Linked DNA regions of Sus scrofa. The protein of the gene in region 2 purifies or fractionates together with the protein of the main gene of each other region. This does not show direct contact. Links are inferred from orthologs where the notes say so. Each region holds a gene or a part of one and is shown on either strand. Other genes may lie near its edges.

The links. Proteins that work in one complex are often made in the same cells at the same time.
Region 1: the proteins of PSMA2 (region 2) and PSMG3 purify together in Homo sapiens (affinity purification with mass spectrometry; 4 studies listed by BioGRID and IntAct, with this or other methods). This does not show direct contact. The link is inferred for Sus scrofa from reciprocal best matches to the Homo sapiens genes PSMA2 and PSMG3.

What each region holds. Positions count from the first base shown.
Region 1 is NC_010445.4:1,051,582-1,056,113, forward strand, and holds PSMG3 (proteasome assembly chaperone 3), read right to left. Parts: upstream 3,136-4,532; 5' UTR 3,105-3,135; exon of another isoform or gene 3,071-3,104; intron 2,498-3,070; 5' UTR 2,470-2,497; coding exon 2,254-2,469; intron 1,099-2,253; coding exon 946-1,098; 3' UTR 604-945; downstream 1-603. UniProt on the Homo sapiens protein: Chaperone protein which promotes assembly of the 20S proteasome. May cooperate with PSMG1-PSMG2 heterodimers to orchestrate the correct assembly of proteasomes.
Region 2 is NC_010460.4:51,915,491-51,919,558, reverse strand, and holds part of PSMA2 (proteasome subunit alpha type-2), read right to left. Parts: intron 3,106-4,068; coding exon 3,024-3,105; intron 1,280-3,023; coding exon 1,206-1,279; intron 129-1,205; coding exon 71-128; intron 1-70.

The sequences.
Region 1 (4,532 bases), on a different chromosome or scaffold from region 2:
CCCCCACCCCCCGTTCTCACGAGACAAAGGGTCAAACAGAAACGACCCTGGTCGCTGAATGTGGAGGGATGAAGGAGCCCAGATGGGTCCCCGGCTGCCCTTTGTCACAGGCGTGGGTGGCCACAGGCTGCCTTCCACGTGGACACGTCACCCTGAGGTCAAGCCCCAGGAACATCTCCAAGGGGCAGACCCCGCGAGCCCTGAAGCCCTTCAGCCCCCTCGCTGGGCTCAGCGTCCCGTCTGAGGCCTCAGCACACACAGGCCCTCCCAGCCCTTGGGCCTCCCAGCCGGGCAGCTTCCCATGTCCCGGTCCCAGCTTCTCCCATGTCCCGGCCTCTCTGGAAGTGAGGCGCCGCCTAGCCTGCCCCCCCTGCCCTCCTCCCTGCCTGACCCCCTCCTCCTGGGGTATATGTGTCTGGCCCCAGCTTTCAAGGATGTGGCTCCGGAGGCCAGGGTACCAACCAGCAGTCCGGGGACCGGGACGCTCAGAGAGGCCACAGGCAGAGGAGCAGGATGAGGCTGTGGGCTTCAGGCCGAGACCACCGCAGCGGATTTACGCCGCGCGACGGAAATGTCTCAGCACCGTCGCGAAAGACGGTGAGGTACTCTGGAATGTGCATTTATTTTTAATAAGACAAACATCTCCCCCAACAAATGACCTGCACATCGGGGGCCATGACTCATTCCGTCAACTCTCAACTACGTGCCACTCTCGGGAGCCGGAGAGAACCGCTCACAGCTCTCCTAGGACACCTTCGGCTCGCCTCCCTCCGCCGGGGGTGTCAGCCTCCAAACCAGTCGGCCTCAGATGTGCACGGTTCTTCCGGTTTCGAGGGCTAAAGCCTGAGAACGCTCCTCCTTCTGGCTGAAGGGTCTCCAGAGCCTCGAGACGGTGTCTGAGTTTCCGCTTGGTCCTGACGGGCAGCAGGAGTGGCTGCCCCAGGGTCACCACACCTGGCACGTCCGGATCACCTCCTTCAGGGCCGTCACTCCCTCCATGCTCTTGTCCTTCACGGCCAAGGCGAGGAGGACTGCTCTGTTTCCAGCTTCCTGAGACACAAAGGCCACCAGGTTCTTTGCAAAGACATGGATGAGAGGCTGGTGAGGGCAGAGAGAGAAGGCATTTTAACTGCAAGAAATCGCTTGTCTTCTTCTAAATTAGTTTTATTTTAAATTCCTCAATGGGTTTTATTACATTTACAGTTGTGCGATGAGCCTCACAGCCCGATTTTGAGCATTTCCATCCCAAGCCCCTGCCCGCCCCCGACCTGTCTCATTTGGAAACCATAAGCTTTTCAGTCTGTGAGTCAGTATCTGTTCTGCAAAGAAGTTCACTGTGTCCTTTTTTTTTTTTTTGTCTCTGTAGGGCCGCACCTGTGGCACATGGAGGTTCCCAGGCTAGGGGTCTAATTGGAGCTGTAGCCACCAGCCTGCACCACAGCCACAGCAATGCCAGATCCGAGCCGCGTCTGCGACCTACACCACAGCTCACGGCAACGCCGGATCCTCAACCCACTGAGCGAGGCCAGGGATCGAACCCGCAACCTCATGGTTCCTAGTCAGATTTGTTTCCGCTGCGTCACAACGGGAACGCCCCATTGTGTCCTTTTTTTTAGATCCCACATGTAAGTGACAGCATTTGAGGTTGGCATCTCACCATCTGCCTGACTTCACTTGGCGTGATAATTTCTAGGTCCAACCTCTTTTCTTCTTAATGCCTTCCTAGTCCCCCCGAGAAACCCGGCCTGGCTTCCAACCATTCAGTCACCACCTGGTAAGTTCAGTGTGACAGTAACTCAGGTTCAAAGAGACTCAGGGCACTCCAGTCATAAACGCACTGCTAAGGAGCATCATTAAACTTGTCCCTTTCGTGCTTCTGGTTCCTGTCTCTTCCGGCGATTTCTGCTCTGGAAGGACCCCTGAAAGTCTGCAGAGGCAACCTGTCAAGGCTCACAGATGGTCTTTCCAGAACGAAGCATGCACAACCAGTCATTACCATAATGTATCATGACAGGGTCAAACTGAGGGGAGGCCTACATCGCAAAATCAATACCTCCGCCTGTCTGCAGGATAAAATGCTGATGGGCTGGAAGCAGCAGCCACCAAGGGCAGGTGGATGCCCTCAGACGCAGAGAGGCCCCGGAAAATGCTGTCGAGGGCTGGTGGCGGTGGGCGTGGGGGCGTCTGCCCAGAGATGCTCCCCGTGTGTATTAACAAATTGTAGCCACCGGGCTCCCGCCCCCATCCCTTTACCTCGTCCTGCCCGAGAAGAACTTTGGTGGTGAGCACAGGCTTGCTGATGTCACTGGTCATGCTGCTGGATTCCAGGGAGACCAGGGTACCCATTTTCCCGAACTGGGTCACCACCACCAGGATGTGACTGCTGAAGGCTGTGCATACCACCTGGGTAGGGACGCCACACACTACCGCAGTCGTCTGTTTCGACATCACCAATGGTTTGCCTTCCATGGTTGGGTCTGTTCAATGGCCCCTTCAGCTTGTTAAGAATAAAGAGAGTAAATCAGCATCAGATGGCCTTGGGGCTCCAGAGTAAGTACCATTTGGCATTAAAACAGAAATACAAGTGGGCTCATTCAAAAGCCTGTATCTGTTAACCCTTACAGGCCTCATTTGCCCAAAACTTTCTAGATTCATTGAGTAGACACACTTGTATACATAAACTAGCCAGGCAAAGGAGGCAGGATGTCAAAATATGCTTTTCTTTCCTCTTCCACGCGCTTGGGGCCCCTGCTGTTAAGCATCACTGTGACCCCACCCCATCCCGAGGCTCTGAGTCCTGGGGCCCTCGGTGGTGCCACTGCCGGGGGGGTGAAGGGCTGAAAGCGCCGCAGGTGCAGGTGCAAAAGCCAGGCCAGAGCAGGTGGCCACGCTCCTGCCGTCCCTCCAGTGCGCCCATTGAGGTTCCGTTTTCTGCACTTGGGAAAACCACCGGCCCCACAGGAGAAGCAGCACGTCACCGAGCCAGGAGGCAGATGGCGACCGTGGCTGGGGCGCCAACCGTGGGGGCGCCCGCCCTCGCCTTCCCGCTCCAGCCTCCGCGGCCCCCTACCCTCCCTGCCGCCCGCCATGCCGCCCGCGCTCACCAGGCCGCGCCCGGAAATGACGCCGGTGGCGGCGCGGCCCCGCCCCCTAAGGCCCCGCCCCGCTCCCGAGCGCCAGACGCGCCCGCGGGCTCTGCGGCCCCCGCCGGAAGTGCAGCCCGCAGGGCTTCCGGTCGCGCCGGGGCCGCTGGGCTCTGAGGCGCTGGGCTGCCCGCCCGCCAGCAGCGACGGGCTGGGCACCGAGTCGCGCGAGGGGCTGCGGCCCCAAGCTCGGGAGCGCAGCCTCCAGCTTCTTCCCAAGGGCGGTCTCGCCCTTCGGCCCCTCGGCCCCTCGGCCCCGCAGTAGAGCGGCCTCCGGCTTCTCCCCAGGGGCGACCTCGGGCGCTCCTGACGGCGGCCCTGCTCCTCTGTCACCGGGGAGCCGCAGTGGGGTCCCTGGCCCCTTGGCCGTGGGTTCCAGGGCGCTGCTGCAAGCACAGGGAGCCGAGAGAAAACCAGGGCTGGACCGCAGTTAAGGCGCTGAAAGCGGGTTCCGCCCAGGGCGCTTCACAGAGCGCGCAGGAGACCCCGGTGTGGAGCCGGGCTCACCCCGCACACGGGTGGGCGGAAAAGAAAGGCGCACCCCGAAAGCTGAGCCTTACGTTTCGTGTGGCACACCAAGCTGAGGACCCGAGCCTGGGGCCCAGCATCTAACTGGGAGCCCGCTCCGTAGAGGTGAGGCAGGAGCCGGCACCTCCGGGCGGTTCCGCGCAAAGACCAGGTAGCTGGCGCGTGGGGAGGTCGCTGTCCGTTAAGGAACCAGACCTCTCCAGGCGTTTAGTGCTTGGAGTTCCCGTCCTGGCGCAGTGGTTAACGAGCCCGACTGGGAACCGTGAGGTTGCGGGTTCGGTCCCTGGCCTCGCTCCGTGGGTTAAGGATCCGGCGTTGCCCTGAGCTGTGGTGTAGGTTGCAGATGTGGCTTGGATCCCGTGGGGCTGTGGCTCTGGCGTAGGCCGGTGGCTACAGCTCCGATTAGACCCCTAGCCTGGGAACCTCCATATGCCGCGGGAGTGGCCCAAGAAATGGCAAAAAGAGAAAAAAAAAAAAAAAAAGAAAAAAGGAATTTAGTGCTTCTCCGTGAGTGGGGGGGGGGGGGGCGGGTGATGCAAAGTCTGGGCTCATTCCCATCAACCCCAAGTGATTTCAGCGTTCACGGCCTTCGTCCTCTGGGTGCACCGTCGTGGTGGCTGTAATGTGACAGCTTGATGGCTGCAACATCCTTTCTTCACTGATCGGTCGCGCGTGTTCAAAACCACAGGAGCCGGTGGGAATTTACAGCCGAGGAACGGCGTGGGGTCAGGGGGTGGGAAACTACTACGCGGAAACCTCTGGGTGGGGGGCTGGGGGTTTGGGGCTTCTAGCCAAGGAAACCTGGTGGGATTCTTGCTCAAGGCCGGCCAGGTATCAGACCACCTGGGGGGTGAGGACGGG
Region 2 (4,068 bases):
GGAAAAGGTCAATTTCCCAGCAGTTAATTGTAAAATCATTACCAGTCCCATTGGTGGGTATTGAACTAACCTTTAGGGTTAATATGGCTGTGTGAATGGCATCTTCAAGTTCCAGATCTTCATTGTATCTAAAAAATTTGTTGATAAACAGTGTTTTATGGCCCTATTAACATTATTTATGACTTGCAAATGCAATGATAGCAACAGTATAAATCCAAAACACTCTTAAAAATATTAAGTTACAGATTAATTATTTCAGTCGCCTCACGGAGCTGGCTGTCCCCAGACAAGAAGCTGACAGTCGCTTCTTGATGTGCACACTGGGTGTGCAGTCCCATCATGAAGAATGTAACCCTAACATGAGTTTATTTTAGGAAACTTCCTTTAAGTGTAAAAATTTTAATGGATTCAGAGTGTGGTGGCGATATTATAATAATTTACAAAAGTAAGGCAGAGAATCAGACCCTTGCTAAAATTTCCTATGTCTGTTCTTATAATGTTTGGAAGACTCATAATAACATGTAAAAGGAAAAAGAAAGTGCTTTAAGATCCTAAGTTTACCAACTAATCATAGGTCTCAGATTCTAGTAATTTAAACATTATTGAAAATGTACTGAGAAGTTTCATTTGTTAGCTGTGATCAATTACAAACATTTTTCTTTCAAAACGCGGGACACTTTTTGATGGACGACAGCCATGCGGAGTCTAGAAGAGAGCTGCAAGGAGGTGAGAGCAGTTTGCCATGCTAGGCAGGGGCAGATTTTTATGCATCCCACATTTCACCAAGCACATAAATCCCAGCTTTAATCCACCTTCAACACCAGGTAGTTGGCTCCAAGATTTTTTTCTGTAATTGTCAAAATGTAAACTGTTAAGTTTTCCTCCCCAAATTTTTACTCCAAATCCAATCTTTTTTTTTTTTTTTTTTTTTTTTGGTGGGGACTTTTTTTAAGGAAAAAGTAAAATAAAAAAAACCCACAACATTTAGGAAAAAAAATGAGAATGCAGAAAGAGAAGTTCTTAAGAAATGAACATTACCACTTACCACAGTGAAAGCTAGGAGCTGGGATAGGGAGACGTTTGCTGTTCCATCAATAACTAGACTCCCATACACAGGAACACAACAAATTTATTCAGATTCCTGGTTATTTAAAGAGCTGAAATTTAAAGTATGTTCGCTAATGATTCTAGTTTTATGAGCCTACCTTTTCTCAAGGAACGTTTTCCCATTCACATAGTTCTTTCCCATTGCAGTGGCTTTCCAAGCAAAGTAGGCTCCCTTAATCAGGAAGGGAAGAGGAAAAATCATATTTTAAATCATTATTATATATGCCTTGACATTTATTTCTTGGTTCAATAATTTGTCTCTAACGTCTAAGGTCACGGAATTTTTATCGAGATGCAATGGAGTATGTCACAAAATATGGGGTTTTATTTTTTTGTTTTTTTAGGGCTGTACCCACGGCATATGGAGGTTCCCAAGCTAGGGATCGAATCAGAGCTGTAGCCACTGGCCTACACCACAGCCACAGCAGCAACAGATCTGAGCCGCATCTGCCACCTACACCATAGCTCATGGCAACACCGGATCCTTAATCCAGCAAGTGAAGCCAGGGATGGAACCTGCGTCCTCATGGATGTTAGGAAGGTTCGTTAACTGCTGAATCACGATGGGAACTCCTTTCATTTATTTATTTTTTTGAAAGGTTATTAGCAGGGTAAATGACAAAGAGGCATGAAGAGACTTTTGGAGGCTATGGGGAAGTTCAGCATCTTGATTGTGGGGATGGTTTTCTCAGGTATTTACATACATCAAAAGCTCATCAAACTGCACACTTTAAATATGTGCAATTTATTGTACAAAATTTATGTTAAAAAAAAGAAAGAAACTGAGGTTAACTCAGAGCCAATAATGGAAAGTAATATTTTAGGCTTACTAGAACTGAAGGGCTCCAAAAGTCTGTCATATGTATCTAAAAAATGGTGACCAACTTGCCATCGTCTTTGGTGACTATGTTAAAAAGACACAGTTTTGCATTAAAAATTTGCAAAGGTGTTGATATTTTGAAATCTAACATTAAGCAAAAGCAGCCAGCAGTATGTCATATACAACATGACCTCATCTGCTGAAAAAATATATACACACCCACACACACAGACACTGAAAGAAACACACCACACATATTTTAAAAGAAAGAACTGCTTTTTGGATACAACAGGGGCAAAAAGGGCAAAGATGAAAGCTGGATGCCAGTGCCAGTGGCTCTGATACCCACCAGGAAGAAAGGTTAGAAGGCTTTTAGCTTCAGAAGCTCAGATACAGAATAACAAAATACTTACTTTTATGACTTAAGTAACAGACAACCAATTTTTTTTTTTTTTTGCCCTTTCAGATTACAAAGCTAGACCAGAAGTTTTGGACTGAGTGAACCTGCCTTTATCTAACGACCTATAAGCTACGCAAGATCAGTTTTTGAGCACGAGTTTTTAATTCTGGGTCTCCTCACAGCAAACGTGAGTGACAGACACGCGACACACGTGGAAGAATGGTACCCTCTACAGACCCCAGCCGACTCGGACACCGATCTCCTGCTTTAGAGCAGACCACGCATCCATCTCGCAGACCATTGAATTCAAGACAGTAACAGCAATGTTTACGCAGGAGTCACACTCCAGTCAGACCTAAGAGTAAACTGAGGGCAAAGAGCACTGCCCCCTAGACCCTTTAATCTCTGCTTACAATTTTTTAAAAGAATTCCAGACTTGAGATTTGATAACAACTATTTCAACCAAAGTATGTGACGTTAACACAACAGAAGAACAGAGCACAGAACTAAAGGAGCTCCCTTAACTGAAGACTGTGAATTACCAGCACTTTAATGTGTAAGTGAGTATGTACTGCTTCGACGGCCCTAAATGAAAAACAAAATATTCTAATTTTTAAGCTTTTTATGGCTTCTATTATTATTCGATAGTCAAAGAGCGCTTCGACAAATCCCTCAGATATACCTAACGATACTTACAGATGGATCTGACTGAAATAAATACGGTCGTCCCTCATTCCAACCACAAATAAGCAAAGACACTCCAAATGGACGAACACCACTGAAGAAAGAAAAAGTGAGAATAACTTGGCATCTTCATGGTCTTTAAGTCAACCTAAGGTAAGAACTTATTAATACTCTCAAGTAAAGCAAATTATAAAGTAAACCGAATGAGACTTCTAAGCTCATTAAAAAGTATTTAAGGAGTTCCCGTTGTGGCTCAGTGAGTTAAGGACCTGACACCGTCTCTGTGAGGATGCGGGTCTGATCCCTGGCCTTGCTCAGTGGAGTAAGGATCCAGCATTGTCGCAAGTTGCAGTGTAGGTCCCACTTGAGGCTTGGATCTGGTGTTGTTCTGGCTGTGATGTAGGCTGGCAGGTGGATTTAACCCCTGGCCCAGGAACTTCCACGTGTGGCAGGTGCGGCCGGTGCGGCCATAAAAAGAAAAATAAAAGCATTTAGCACCTTCTAAATAAATTCAAAATGAAGCTGGTACTGAGGAACAATAGTCAGATCATTTTGATAAAGGTACTGAAATACATTTGGGGGTTAGTAAGTGTGGAGTAACAACACTTCATGTTCTAAAAAAATGACAGGTTTCAACAAATGCAGCTTTTCCGCTGGCTTTACACATCAGCAACCACCTCTGCACTACTTCGTCCATGTCACACCCACACTCGAGGACAGCGGCGTTAAAATGAATACAGATGTGTTAGAGTTACTGCTTTCATTATGGGCTGATGATCATTGCTGGTTAGAAGATCAATTTGGAAGCAGCCGTGACTGCCCATAAAGAAATGTTTCAATCACTCGCCAAAGGCCTTTAGCTAGAAGCTGCTTTCTGCTGTTACACGGACAGCAAAAAACCATTCCCACTTCCTTGTTAAGAAAATGTTACAGATCCAGTTAAGAACAGAAATAATTCATCACAGTGATTTTCTCCACAGATTAAGGAGACATGGGAATACCGAGTCCTCTTTTATTTAAAAAATATGTCTAATCTTATAAAATGACCTTTCTTCCA